Rattus norvegicus: one gene and its partners. The protein of the gene in region 2 interacts with the protein of the main gene of each other region in a biochemical or structural test. Links are inferred from orthologs where the notes say so. Each region holds a gene or a part of one and is shown on either strand. Other genes may lie near its edges.

The links.
Region 1: the proteins of Notch1 (region 2) and Usp10 form a complex in vitro, tested with the Homo sapiens proteins (2 studies listed by BioGRID, with this or other methods). The link is inferred for Rattus norvegicus from reciprocal best matches to the Homo sapiens genes NOTCH1 and USP10.
Region 3: the proteins of Notch1 (region 2) and Numb form a complex in vitro, tested with the Homo sapiens proteins (2 studies listed by BioGRID). The link is inferred for Rattus norvegicus from reciprocal best matches to the Homo sapiens genes NOTCH1 and NUMB.

What each region holds. Positions count from the first base shown.
Region 1 is NC_086037.1:64,919,797-64,924,022, forward strand, and holds the end of Usp10 (ubiquitin carboxyl-terminal hydrolase 10), read left to right. Parts: intron 1-996; coding exon 997-1,141; intron 1,142-2,342; coding exon 2,343-2,408; intron 2,409-2,748; coding exon 2,749-2,936; 3' UTR 2,937-3,726; downstream 3,727-4,226. UniProt on the Homo sapiens protein: Hydrolase that can remove conjugated ubiquitin from target proteins such as p53/TP53, RPS2/us5, RPS3/us3, RPS10/eS10, BECN1, SNX3 and CFTR.
Region 2 is NC_086021.1:29,694,114-29,697,613, reverse strand, and holds part of Notch1 (neurogenic locus notch homolog protein 1 precursor), read left to right. Parts: intron 1-14; coding exon 15-128; intron 129-826; coding exon 827-940; intron 941-1,234; coding exon 1,235-1,468; intron 1,469-1,547; coding exon 1,548-1,658; intron 1,659-2,412; coding exon 2,413-2,605; intron 2,606-3,051; coding exon 3,052-3,197; intron 3,198-3,385; coding exon 3,386-3,499; intron 3,500-3,500. UniProt on the Homo sapiens protein: Functions as a receptor for membrane-bound ligands Jagged-1 (JAG1), Jagged-2 (JAG2) and Delta-1 (DLL1) to regulate cell-fate determination.
Region 3 is NC_086024.1:109,176,464-109,179,963, forward strand, and holds part of Numb (protein numb homolog), read right to left. Parts: intron 2,311-3,500; coding exon 2,236-2,310; intron 123-2,235; coding exon 1-122. UniProt on the Homo sapiens protein: Regulates clathrin-mediated receptor endocytosis. Plays a role in the process of neurogenesis.

The sequences.
Region 1 (4,226 bases), on a different chromosome or scaffold from region 2:
GCTTGGACGCTGACTTGAGTCCGCCTCTCACGCAGTTGCTTTACTGAGAAGCCCCGGGTTGTCAGGAAGGAGCGGTTGAACCATATGGCCCCCCAGCTGCTCTGCAGCTCTGGCTCTCGTGACTGAGGGAATTATCTCCCTTCTGCCCTTGACCCTGCTCCGTGTCTCCTTTCCTCAGTCCACCTGGTGTCTGCAGCCAGCCTACCTCCAGCAGAAGAGTTAGGATGTGAAGGGAGTTCCAGGCACGTCTGTGTTGCAAAAGCATTGATCATTAGGGACAGTCAGGCGACTATTCAGTGTGATGACGAGGATAAAGTCTTGAGTGTCCCGTCCTGGACAGTTAGGAGCTGGCCTTGTTGTTGTGGAGAGGCTGTTGTCTGGCTCTCAGTGGCCTGCTCTTCTGCTCTGCGGGGAGGCCGTCTTGTCTCTCAGGTCTTTTGCAGACTGGCATTGAGGTCACAAGGCAGGATGAATGCTGGGTAGTTAGGGTGGCGCTTTTCTGAAGAGTTCGTGGTACTGGAAAGCTGTGAACAGTGGAGTGCAGAGGCTACAGGGTCAAGTAAGGAGTGAGCAACTGAAGATACATTTGGTGGAGAAAACCAAAAGAAACCCTAACACCAGGCGTAGCCGGGAACAGTTGCAGGTGGGCAGAGAGACTCATCCTGCAGCAGGGCCGTCCGCAATCTTCCGACTTACACTGCATTAAGTTTCATTGTTGGTGCTGCTTTAGGATGTTTTAAAAGATTCAGGAGCCTTGAAAGCACTAAAGGGACGCAGGCTGGTCATGCCAGCTCCAGCCGTTCTGCACTCAGCTTGTCTTTCCGGCCATTGTGTCGCCACATAGCCAAAGACTTCGCTTGGAGGCCACAGATGGGCTCCTTACAGGGGTCCATGGGGGTACAGGCATGGCTGGGGAGCTGTTGGGAGTTGCTGTGGAAGCCCACAGGGGGGCTGCTGCAGCCAGGCGGGCCTGTGACCCAGGCTACTTTGTCCCAGGTTGAAGTCAGCCGTAGAGTGACTCTGGAGAAGCTTCCCCCTGTCCTTGTGCTCCACCTGAAGCGCTTCGTCTATGAGAAGACGGGCGGATGCCAGAAGCTCGTCAAGAACATCGAGTACCCTGTGGACTTGGAGATCAGCAGAGGTAATGCCGGCCTGTGCCTGCTGCAGTCCCCACAGCCTGTCACCGCCTGGTCACCAGTTAGGACTCTTTGTTTTAGCTTTATTGACATTTGTGGGTCTCTATACTGAATGCTCGCCAAGGTGGCTTCCTTAGTTTTAACTTTGACTTAGGGATGGTTTGCCGGTATGGAGTGTGCACTGTGTGCTTGGCGGACTACAGAGGCCCAAAGGGGCGTTGGCCTTACAGGTGGCTGCCAGCTACTGTGTTGGTGCTGGGCTCAAACCCAAGTTCTCTGAAAGAGTAGCCAGTGCTCCTAACCACTGAGCCATTATATTTTGTTTTTGTTTTAAGGCAGGGTCTCGGTATGAAGTGCTGGCTGGCCTGGAGCTCTCTATATAGACCAGGCTGGCCATGCACTCTTATTACAGCGATTTGCCTGGTGCAAATACAGGAAGGAGATGTAATGTGACTGGATCAGAAAAGCAGGAGAGCAGCCGGGGCTGGCTGGGGATGCCCTCCCCCACAGCGACATGGTGCCTGTGCAGAAATGTGCTGGCTACTGCTTTCTGTGGCTTCTGTGTCGTGTCAGAGGGAGACCACATACCTGCCTGGTGCCTGCAGGGGCAGCCAGTGCTCCAGCCACTGAGGCGTCTGTCTCACTAGCTCTGACAGCCTGTTCTGAAGAGCCCTAAGAGACAGGTTGAAGGAAACCTGTTTTTTTGTTTGTTTTAAGGTTTGTTTTACGGTATGTGTGATTTGTATGTACAGGTAGGCGTGCATGCCACAGCACATGTGTGTTGTTGGCTTAGGAGGTCAGAGCTCACCTTTAATTATGTCCTGGCCTTCATGTGGAAATCAGATGGCACCTTGTAGGAGTAGGTTCTCTCTCTCCACCATGTGGGTGAACATCTTAGATTGTACGCCGGAGTGTGGCAAGGCCAGGCAGTCTACAGAACACAGAGATCTGGGAAAGAAAAAGACAGCGGTGTCTTGCTCTGATCTTGGAGAGAGATCCTCTTGGGTCTGTTCCTCCTGTCCCAGCCCTGCATACCCCGGTTCCTGTCTCCTGTGGCTGTGAGAACCTTCGGGTTCACTTCTCACACCGCTCTGGGCCATGCCTGCTGACCCTCGAAGTGGGATGGGTGTTTTTAAGGGCCCTGTCACCAACCAGTGCTGCTGTGCTGTGAAGACTTTGTTGAAGTGTTGTTATTTTGTTTTTCAGAACTGCTTTCTCCAGGCGTCAAAAATAAAAACTTTAAATGCCACAGAACCTATAGGCTGTTCGCAGGTGAGTGTGTTTGCCCTCTTCTCCCTCAAAACCACAGTGAACAGAGAGTCTAAGGTACCAGGCAAAAATGCCCTGGAACACACACCACAGACAGGGTCCAAGGAGAGCTCAGTTGTCTGTAAAGCATTTGTGCCCGTTTTTGCCTTGAGTCGTGGCTGACAGGAGAGAGTGTTGCTGTCTGTGAGCATCCGCCTGAGTCAGTGGCCTGCAGGCTCCTGTGGTGCCACCTCCCTTTGGAACAGTTGGGTGGGGGTCGGTGAGGAGGGTGTGAGGGTGGGGGTCTGAGGCAGTGGGGTGAGGGGCTGTTCTCACGGGCTGCCCGCTTGGTGCTGTCTTCCAGTGGTCTACCATCATGGCAACAGTGCTACAGGTGGCCACTACACCACGGACGTCTTCCAGATTGGGCTTAACGGCTGGCTGCGAATTGATGACCAGACGGTCAAGGTTATCAACCAGTACCAGGTGGTGAGACCAAGTGCTGACCGCACCGCCTACCTCCTGTATTACCGCCGTGTGGACCTGCTGTAGCTCTGCCCGTGTGTCCGACGCTGTCTCCCATATCTCCCAGCTCACTAACCGCCCGCCTCTCCAGTGGCTCTGTGGAGAGAGGCTCTCCCTCTGCGCCAGGGGGCTTGGATGGAAGATGTCTGGGGGGTCTGCACAGCGCAGCTCATGCTGACTCTGACTTCAGACTGGACTGTGGCTTGAGTGAGGAGACACACACGAGCCGCCGCTTCTGAAGAGCCGCTGGTTCCTGAGCCCCTGGGGAGGTGGCTCGCACTGGGTCCCAGTTTGATGCGTAGTGGAATAAGTCCCGCACCAGCAGCTCTTGTAAATTTGTGAAAATGAATTTTATCTTTCCTTAAAAAAATAATTTTTTTAATTCATCACACTTTCTTCCTTTACCCTTTAGTTTTTGATAAATGACAAAAATGAGCCAGTTATCAGAGATGAGATAGCTCTTACTTCAAAAGGAGATAAATATAAAAAAAAATATGTTGCTGGTTCCTAACAGGAAACGAATTTTAAATGATTGCAAGAGGGAAACTGCTGACATAGACATCGCGGGTCAGACATGTGGGTAGACGTCAGGCTGCAGAGGTGGCTGGCGGATTGTAACTTTATCACCGTGAACAGATTTCAAATCGCATTCATGTTCTGTGTGCACATGAACAGTGGGCAGAGGGACGGACACTTGCCGGTGTCTGCTGTGGAGTCTGCCACACCTCTGATGCCATGTCCCTGTTATACACAGTGTAGTGCTTCCTCGGAGTATAAAGTTGTCACCCGTCAATAAAGATCACAAAGTTGGTTTAAAGCTGTGTCTCTTGCTGGGTCAGCCTCAGCTCAGCCGGGACTCTGGCCGTGCTGGGTCAGTATGGCTGTTGCTGAGCTGGGGAGGGCCTGTCCCTGAGTGTTGCTTCCTCTGATCTTGCGGCTCAGGTGAGGGCCAAGTCTTACCTGAGTGTCCTGATGCCGCCTCAGCTCCTGGCAAAGATGAAGAGGCCTCTGCTGTGTGAGGGGCTCCTCAGGGCAGGGCTCACAGTGGGATGAAACCTACTCCCAAGCTCCTTCCTTTCGTGAAGGGGCTGTGTTCTACCGAAGCCCTGCCCAGCCTCCCTTCAAGATTTCTGGAAACTTCTGTGCTTTCTGGAAACCAGTTGACAGCCAGAGGGGACTCCGGCCTCGTTTCCATGTGATGTGGCTGGAATGAACCAAAGCACACCCATCCCACAACTGGGGCTCACCCAGTCTGCAGTACGCCCCGAAAGCCATCACAAGAGGCCAACGCATGCCTTCCAAGTGAGCGTCCTGTTT
Region 2 (3,500 bases):
TCTCCCATCCCCAGGTTATGAGGGTGTATACTGTGAGATCAACACGGACGAGTGTGCCAGCAGCCCCTGTCTACACAATGGCCGCTGCGTGGACAAGATCAACGAGTTCCTGTGTCAGTGTCCCAAAGGTGAGGCCACCTACTTACCACAGGACCTGTGTCCTCATGCTCTCTTCCCAGACACCTTTGAGGGAGGAATTTGCCTTGTGAGTTGACTAGGAGGTTTTCAGGCTTTCCTCAAAGGTAAAGAAAGGCCCACATGAGAGTGGGCATTATAGAGAGCCTGGCACCAGAAACCCTTTACTAAAGGGGGGAAAGATAAACAGGAGCTGCGGTGCTCCCGAGATAAGGGGGTCCACCTGCGAGTGAGACACAGTGTGGGGATCTGACCTGTATATCTGGGAAGGACTTGGAGGAACTGAGGAGGGAACATAAAAGCCCCGGGAAGGTGTCTCTTGCCTACCCCAGAGCTGGACCAGACTTTGGGCCTTGTGAGATGTAAATCAGCCATCTTAGACTTGGTCGAGCAAGGGGAGTCCCATTCACAACCTAGTGCAGCTGTAACCATAGCAACCAGACGCTATTTAGGAAAAGGGCCCCTCTGTTGGGCCAGGGAGGCAGCCACTGAGCAGTGCTGAACCAGGAACTGATCAGAGGGGTAAGGGTACCAGGGCAGGTTGAAGCCTGGAGGTCAGTGGCCACTGGTGACAAAGTACCCTCTAGGGAGCCCATGTGAGCAGTCATTCAGCTAACTATAGGGTCTGTGGGTAGCAACCGAAGGGCTAGGATACTGTCAGACATAACCATCTCCTCTTCCCTGGCCACAGGCTTCAGCGGGCACCTGTGCCAGTATGACGTGGATGAGTGCGCCAGCACACCATGCAAGAACGGCGCCAAGTGCCTGGATGGGCCCAACACCTACACCTGCGTGTGCACAGAAGGTACAAGAGGCAGTGTGCAGGGTCTGGGGGAGGGGACTCGGGCTTAGATAGTGGGAAGAAGGGACAGGAAACTGGGGAGCCCTTCGTTTGGGGCTATATAATCTGAGCGTCAAGAACTTAACTCTGCTTTGACTCCAGACAGGAGTGATGAGAACATCCCGGGGTATGTGACACTCCCACATCCAGTGACCCTGGGCTGGGCCTGCTCAGTATTTTCCCTAGGTGTAGCCAACTGAGTGTTGAGGGAGTAACTGGCCCTGAAGCTCACCAATGTCCACCTTTCCTGCCATCTAGGTTACACGGGGACCCACTGCGAGGTGGACATTGACGAGTGTGACCCTGACCCCTGTCACTATGGTTTGTGCAAGGATGGTGTGGCCACCTTTACCTGCCTCTGCCAGCCAGGCTACACAGGCCATCACTGTGAGACCAACATTAATGAGTGTCACAGCCAGCCGTGCCGCCATGGCGGCACCTGCCAGGACCGTGACAACTACTACCTCTGCTTATGCCTCAAGGGGACCACAGGTGACTGGCCAGAGCTGGCAGTGGGTGGAAAAGGGTGAGGCTAGGCTTGGAGGCTGACCACATGTCACGCTGCCCCTAGGACCCAACTGTGAGATCAATCTGGATGACTGTGCGAGCAACCCCTGTGACTCTGGCACGTGTCTGGACAAGATCGATGGCTACGAGTGTGCGTGCGAGCCAGGCTACACAGGTGAGCGGCTGAAGTTGGAGGTCAAGGTCAACCCTAGAGCCTTTAGATGAATGAGGTCTGGGAGGGACTGTGGGGTTAGCAGGGGTCCAAGGGCTGGAGGACACAAGTTAGGTATCCGCCTCCCAGATCTTGGTCTGCCCACAGGGCGGGTATCATAAGGACTGGGTGGCCTCCACATGCCTTCTGTCCCCTGTCAGTGTCAGCCCTGGCCACATCAGACTTAATGGCTGAAGTGGGGTGGCTAGAGCTCCGAGGCCAGGCTTTCGGACACACGTTCTGCCTCTGACACCCTTATATCTGATAAGAACCTTAATTTCTCTGAGCCCTGGGAACCTTGTCAACAGAGGGACAGTGTCCCAGAGGTCTCAAGGGTGTAGTAAAGTTTGGCTGAAGAATGACTCGGTTGGTAAGGTGTTGGCCTAGCGTGCAAAACCCCTGCCACATACATGTTCAGTTCTCCTGCCACATAAGCCAAGCGTAGCGGCATATGTTAGTACTCTGACATTGAAAGCAAGAGGATCAGAAACGCAGGCTGTTCTCAGCTATGCAGTGAGTTTGTGGCCAGACTGGACCAACAGGAGACCCTGAAGCTACTGGCACCACAGTCACGTAACTCATTGCTGCATAAGGCACTTTCCCGTGGCTTAAAGTTCCATAGATTGGCACACGGGGAAACTGAGGCCCAGCCAGGTTTAGCTCCAGGAGGGTTGGTCTCTGGGTGGCAGGCCTGGTATCAGCCCCTTCTCCCCCACAGGGAGCATGTGTAATGTCAACATTGACGAATGTGCGGGCAGCCCCTGCCACAACGGGGGCACCTGTGAGGATGGCATCGCCGGCTTCACTTGCCGCTGCCCCGAGGGCTACCACGACCCTACGTGCCTGTCTGAGGTCAACGAGTGCAACAGTAACCCCTGCATCCATGGAGCTTGCCGGGATGGCCTCAATGGGTATGGCAGACTGGCCTGGGGGGAACCAGCTAGAAGCCTGGGGCAGATACGGACTGGGTGAATGGGTGTTCCTGTGAGACCAGTAGTGTGAGGTCAGCCCCAAGAGTCTTCCCAGCATCCCTGGGTTGTGTCCTTATTGGCTAACATCAGCTCAGGATATAGACCTTAAGCACCCTGGCTGTTGAAACGGTCGTCTGATACCTGTGACAGCAGCCCTCTGTCAGTGTGTATATGGGGAGACTGCTAAAGTCCTTATTCAAACTGTTAAAAAGTTTGGTACAGAGGGTCAGTACTGGGTCACACTGTCCCAGTCTAGAACCCTTGCATGGTCTTGGGAAAGGCGGGTACCTCCAGTCCAGTAGATGATGTGTCCTTGCCCTCAGACTGGATCTGTAGTCTAGGAACTGTATCTGTAGCCCAGGCTACAAACAGAGGCCTCTCTACAGATACAAATGTGACTGTGCCCCTGGGTGGAGTGGGACAAACTGTGACATCAACAACAATGAGTGTGAGTCCAACCCTTGTGTCAACGGTGGCACCTGCAAAGACATGACCAGTGGCTACGTATGCACCTGCCGAGAAGGCTTCAGTGGTGAGTGTGGTGGGTGACACAGCAGAGTGGGTCCTCCCTGGTGGCAATACAACCCCACGGTGTCTTCTTTCTTGGTCTACCTGATGAACAGGAGCTGCTGGCATTTCTCAGGCTGGGCCCCTGGCTCTCCCGAGTAAGGGCAGAGGGCAGAGGCTCAGGCCCACCCACTCTTGCTCTTCTTCCTACAGGCCCTAACTGCCAGACCAACATTAACGAATGTGCTTCCAACCCCTGCCTGAACCAGGGCACCTGCATTGATGATGTCGCTGGGTACAAATGCAACTGCCCTCTGCCCTATACAGG
Region 3 (3,500 bases), on a different chromosome or scaffold from region 2:
AAGCAATGACAGATCCATCGCCGAGTGGTGCCATCTCGACATATGTAAGAAAAGGCTCTGTCAAAGTTCCTATCGGGGGCGCAGAAAGAAACTTTTTCTATTGTCTGGTCAACTATGAGGTCCTAGAAAATGGAAGCAAAGAGCAAGAGAAGGCTTCTGAGTTATCCGGGCTTCTCAGCAGCAGCACAGGATGCTCCTTTGCAATGCAGAATCCCCACATAGGGTGCGACTTGATGAGGAGGCTCAAACGGCTCCCTAGCTTTATTGCTATGCTCTGAAGAGTGTATGTGTCAGGTGGTTCCGGCTTGGAGCGCTTCCACAGTAGCTGCCATATTCAACTTGACAGTATGCGTACATAAATAAATGTTTAAATCCTCTTGGGTTATTTGCAAATACAGCAAAAACATACAATAGTGAGTTCCCACTATATATTACACAGATTAGAACAATAATACATATTATTCTATACTTTCCCCCTTTCAACTAACTGTATGTCCGTCCAGTAGAAATCTTTTAGTTCAAGTATTCTATTTTACAGATGTACAGCTTTCTCTCTCTCTGATTTCTTTCTTTTCCTTCCTTCCTTCTCTTTGTTTTTGGAGTTTGTGTCTCACCATGTAGCCATAGCCGTCCCAGAACTCAGACATCCTTCTGGCTCTGCCTGCCTGCCAGGTTGGATTAATGGCGCGTACCACCATGCCTGGCCCTAACATTTTTATTTGCTTCTTTTTTTCAGAAATTCCGAGATTATCCAGCTTTTCATTCAGCAGCAGCATTTCTTCCTTCATATGCCTCAGTGCGATTTTAACGCCTGCTTTATAAATTCTGCCTATTCTTCTGGGTCATTCTGGGGCTGGCTCTGCTTTCTCTGTGAGAATGTATCAGCTTCTATTTCTTTGTACAATAGAGACCGATGCATCGCCACGACACAGGCCATTGCTCAAAGAAAGTCAGAGACCTGACGCTCAGATTTCTACAGCTCTATTAATTTGTGCAGATCATGCATGATCTTGTCACAATTCCAACACTGTATTATCCCTGGTAATAGGTAAAATATAAAGGTGGGGCAATGGAACCAATAGTGATAAACTGTCAATTATGGTACGTGTGGTGGCTCATGTCTGCAATCCCAGAACTTGGGAGGCTAGGGCAAGAGAACTGAGCAAATTCAAGGCCAAACTGGGCTGCTGCATACTGAACTCAAGACGAGACTGGGCTACAGAGAGATCCTGTCTACCTCCCCTCCCCCAATTCAACTAGCCTGACCACCAGTAACTTATCAGTCAACATGGAAAGAACAAAATTCATAAATGTAGGTGCTAAAAAAGTAGCCACCAGAGGGCAAACAAATACATGGCCACGAGAATGACAAATTGCTTGGTATGGTGGCACAAGTCTATTATCCCAACACTTGCGAGGTTGACGCGGGGGAATTGTTAGATCAAATTCAGCAAGACTTACCTATCTTCCTTCCTTCCTTCCTTCTTTCCTTCCTTCCTATTTTATTTATTATGAGTACACTGTAGCTGTCTTCAGACACCCCAGAAGAGGGCATCAGATCCCATTACAGATGGTTGTGAGCCACCATGTGGTTGCTGGGAATTGAACTCAGGACCTCTGGAAGAGCAGTCAGTGCTCTTAACCCCTGTGCCATCTCTCCAGCCCATGTCTTTAGGTCTTAAGAAAATGTACTAATGATTACTTGACCATACATATCTTGGTCGTTTAGGGTCCCTTTCTCTCAAAAACAGAGTGCTACCTAGAATACTGTTGGACCCTCAGCAAACCTCACCTCTCATGCTGAACGTTTACCCGACTTGGGCCTTCAGCAGCTGACCCAATTATCCCTCTCTAAGTCACATTTCCTCAAGGAACAAGGGCAAATTTAACATGTGGCCTGTCATCTAAAAAAATTACAGTAAAAGATAGATCACCTTTTACATTCAAGGATCTGAAAAAAGTAAACATAGAAAATAGAACTCATATCTTAGCATTAAGCATTAATGCTTGGCACATACAATAAGCTACATCATGTGGAACAAAATGCCGAGAGATTATGTTCATAGAGTAAATGAGTTACTAAACTAGTTTCCTGAACATTAAAACAGTCTCTCAAAAGGCTGTACTTTGGACACAGTGGCAGGATATTATAGAGCTACTACAACAGCTTAATGACATTTTATCACTAGAGATAAACCACATTAGACGCAACATTTAAACTCACAAAACTCTTACCTTAGTTTTTTCATCCACAACTCTGAGTCCATCTGCTGATACCCACAGAACGGCCTTCACTGCTTTCTTTCCCGTCTTTTAAAAGATAAGGGGGAGGGAGGAGACAATACATACATAATTTTAAAAAGAAAACGAAACTCAGAAAATACTGATTTCCATCTTCTAAAAAGTCACAAGGAAAGAGGAAATCCAGCTTCAGGACTGATACCCAAAGCCAGATACTCAAGCCAAATAGAGACATTCAGGGGAAAAAAAGCTAAGCTATTACCTCAGAAATACAACACAACATCGTAAGATAAACTAAGGGAGAAGAGACAGATAAAAGTAAAACCGAGGTAACACATTCCAGAAAAGGCAAAGAACTCCCAACTAGAGTCTTCATCCATTTAAAAACTCAGCTGAGAAAACTAAGAATCTGACAATAATAGATACATAAGGAGTTACACCACAGGAGACCTGCAGGTACAGAAGGGGACAGATAAGTCTCAGTCACTTCTGAACCATTCTGCTATCCTCTGAGAACCAGTGTGACCCTTTGTCACCTGAAATTTTCAGTTAAAAATTCAAGAAACCATAATCATTTTATGAACAATCCTTAAAAAATAATTATTTATTCCCTCAAGATTAACTATGATTTAGCTTAGGTTTAAAAAAATTATTATTTATGTATTTTATGTAAAAGGACATTTTGTCTGCATGTATATCTGCACACCAGAAAAGGGAATCAGATCTCATGGGATGAGGGTTAGAGCCAGTTGTAAACAGTCATGTGGGTGCTGGGAACTGAACTAAGTAACGTCTGGGCCACTGCTCCAGCCCCAGTCTAGCCAAGCTTTTAATTTGACATTAAATGCTGGGAACATTCTGAGGGCATAGGAAGATTTAAAAATTACAGGGACGATTAAGGTTAGTTTTCTGTTTTTGAGACATGGTTTCTCTGTGTAGCCCTGGCTGTCTTGGAACTCATTGTATACAGCAGACTGGCCTCAAACTCAGAGATCTGCCTGCCTCTGCTTCCTGAGTGCTGGGACTAAAAGTGTGAACCTTCAGAGCCTGTTTTTTGGTTTGTTTGTTTGTTTGTTTGAGTAGCAAACAAGAATATTTTTGAACAAGCTGACAATGTTTTTCTTCTTTGAGGGAATGCAATAGTACTTAATGTCATTTCTTAACTTGCCTATGGATATAAGTAAATTAAAACAAAGACAGGTTGAGGGCAGGTATCAGATTGTCATAGAAATACAGACCAAAGAGAATCTGGTGCTAAA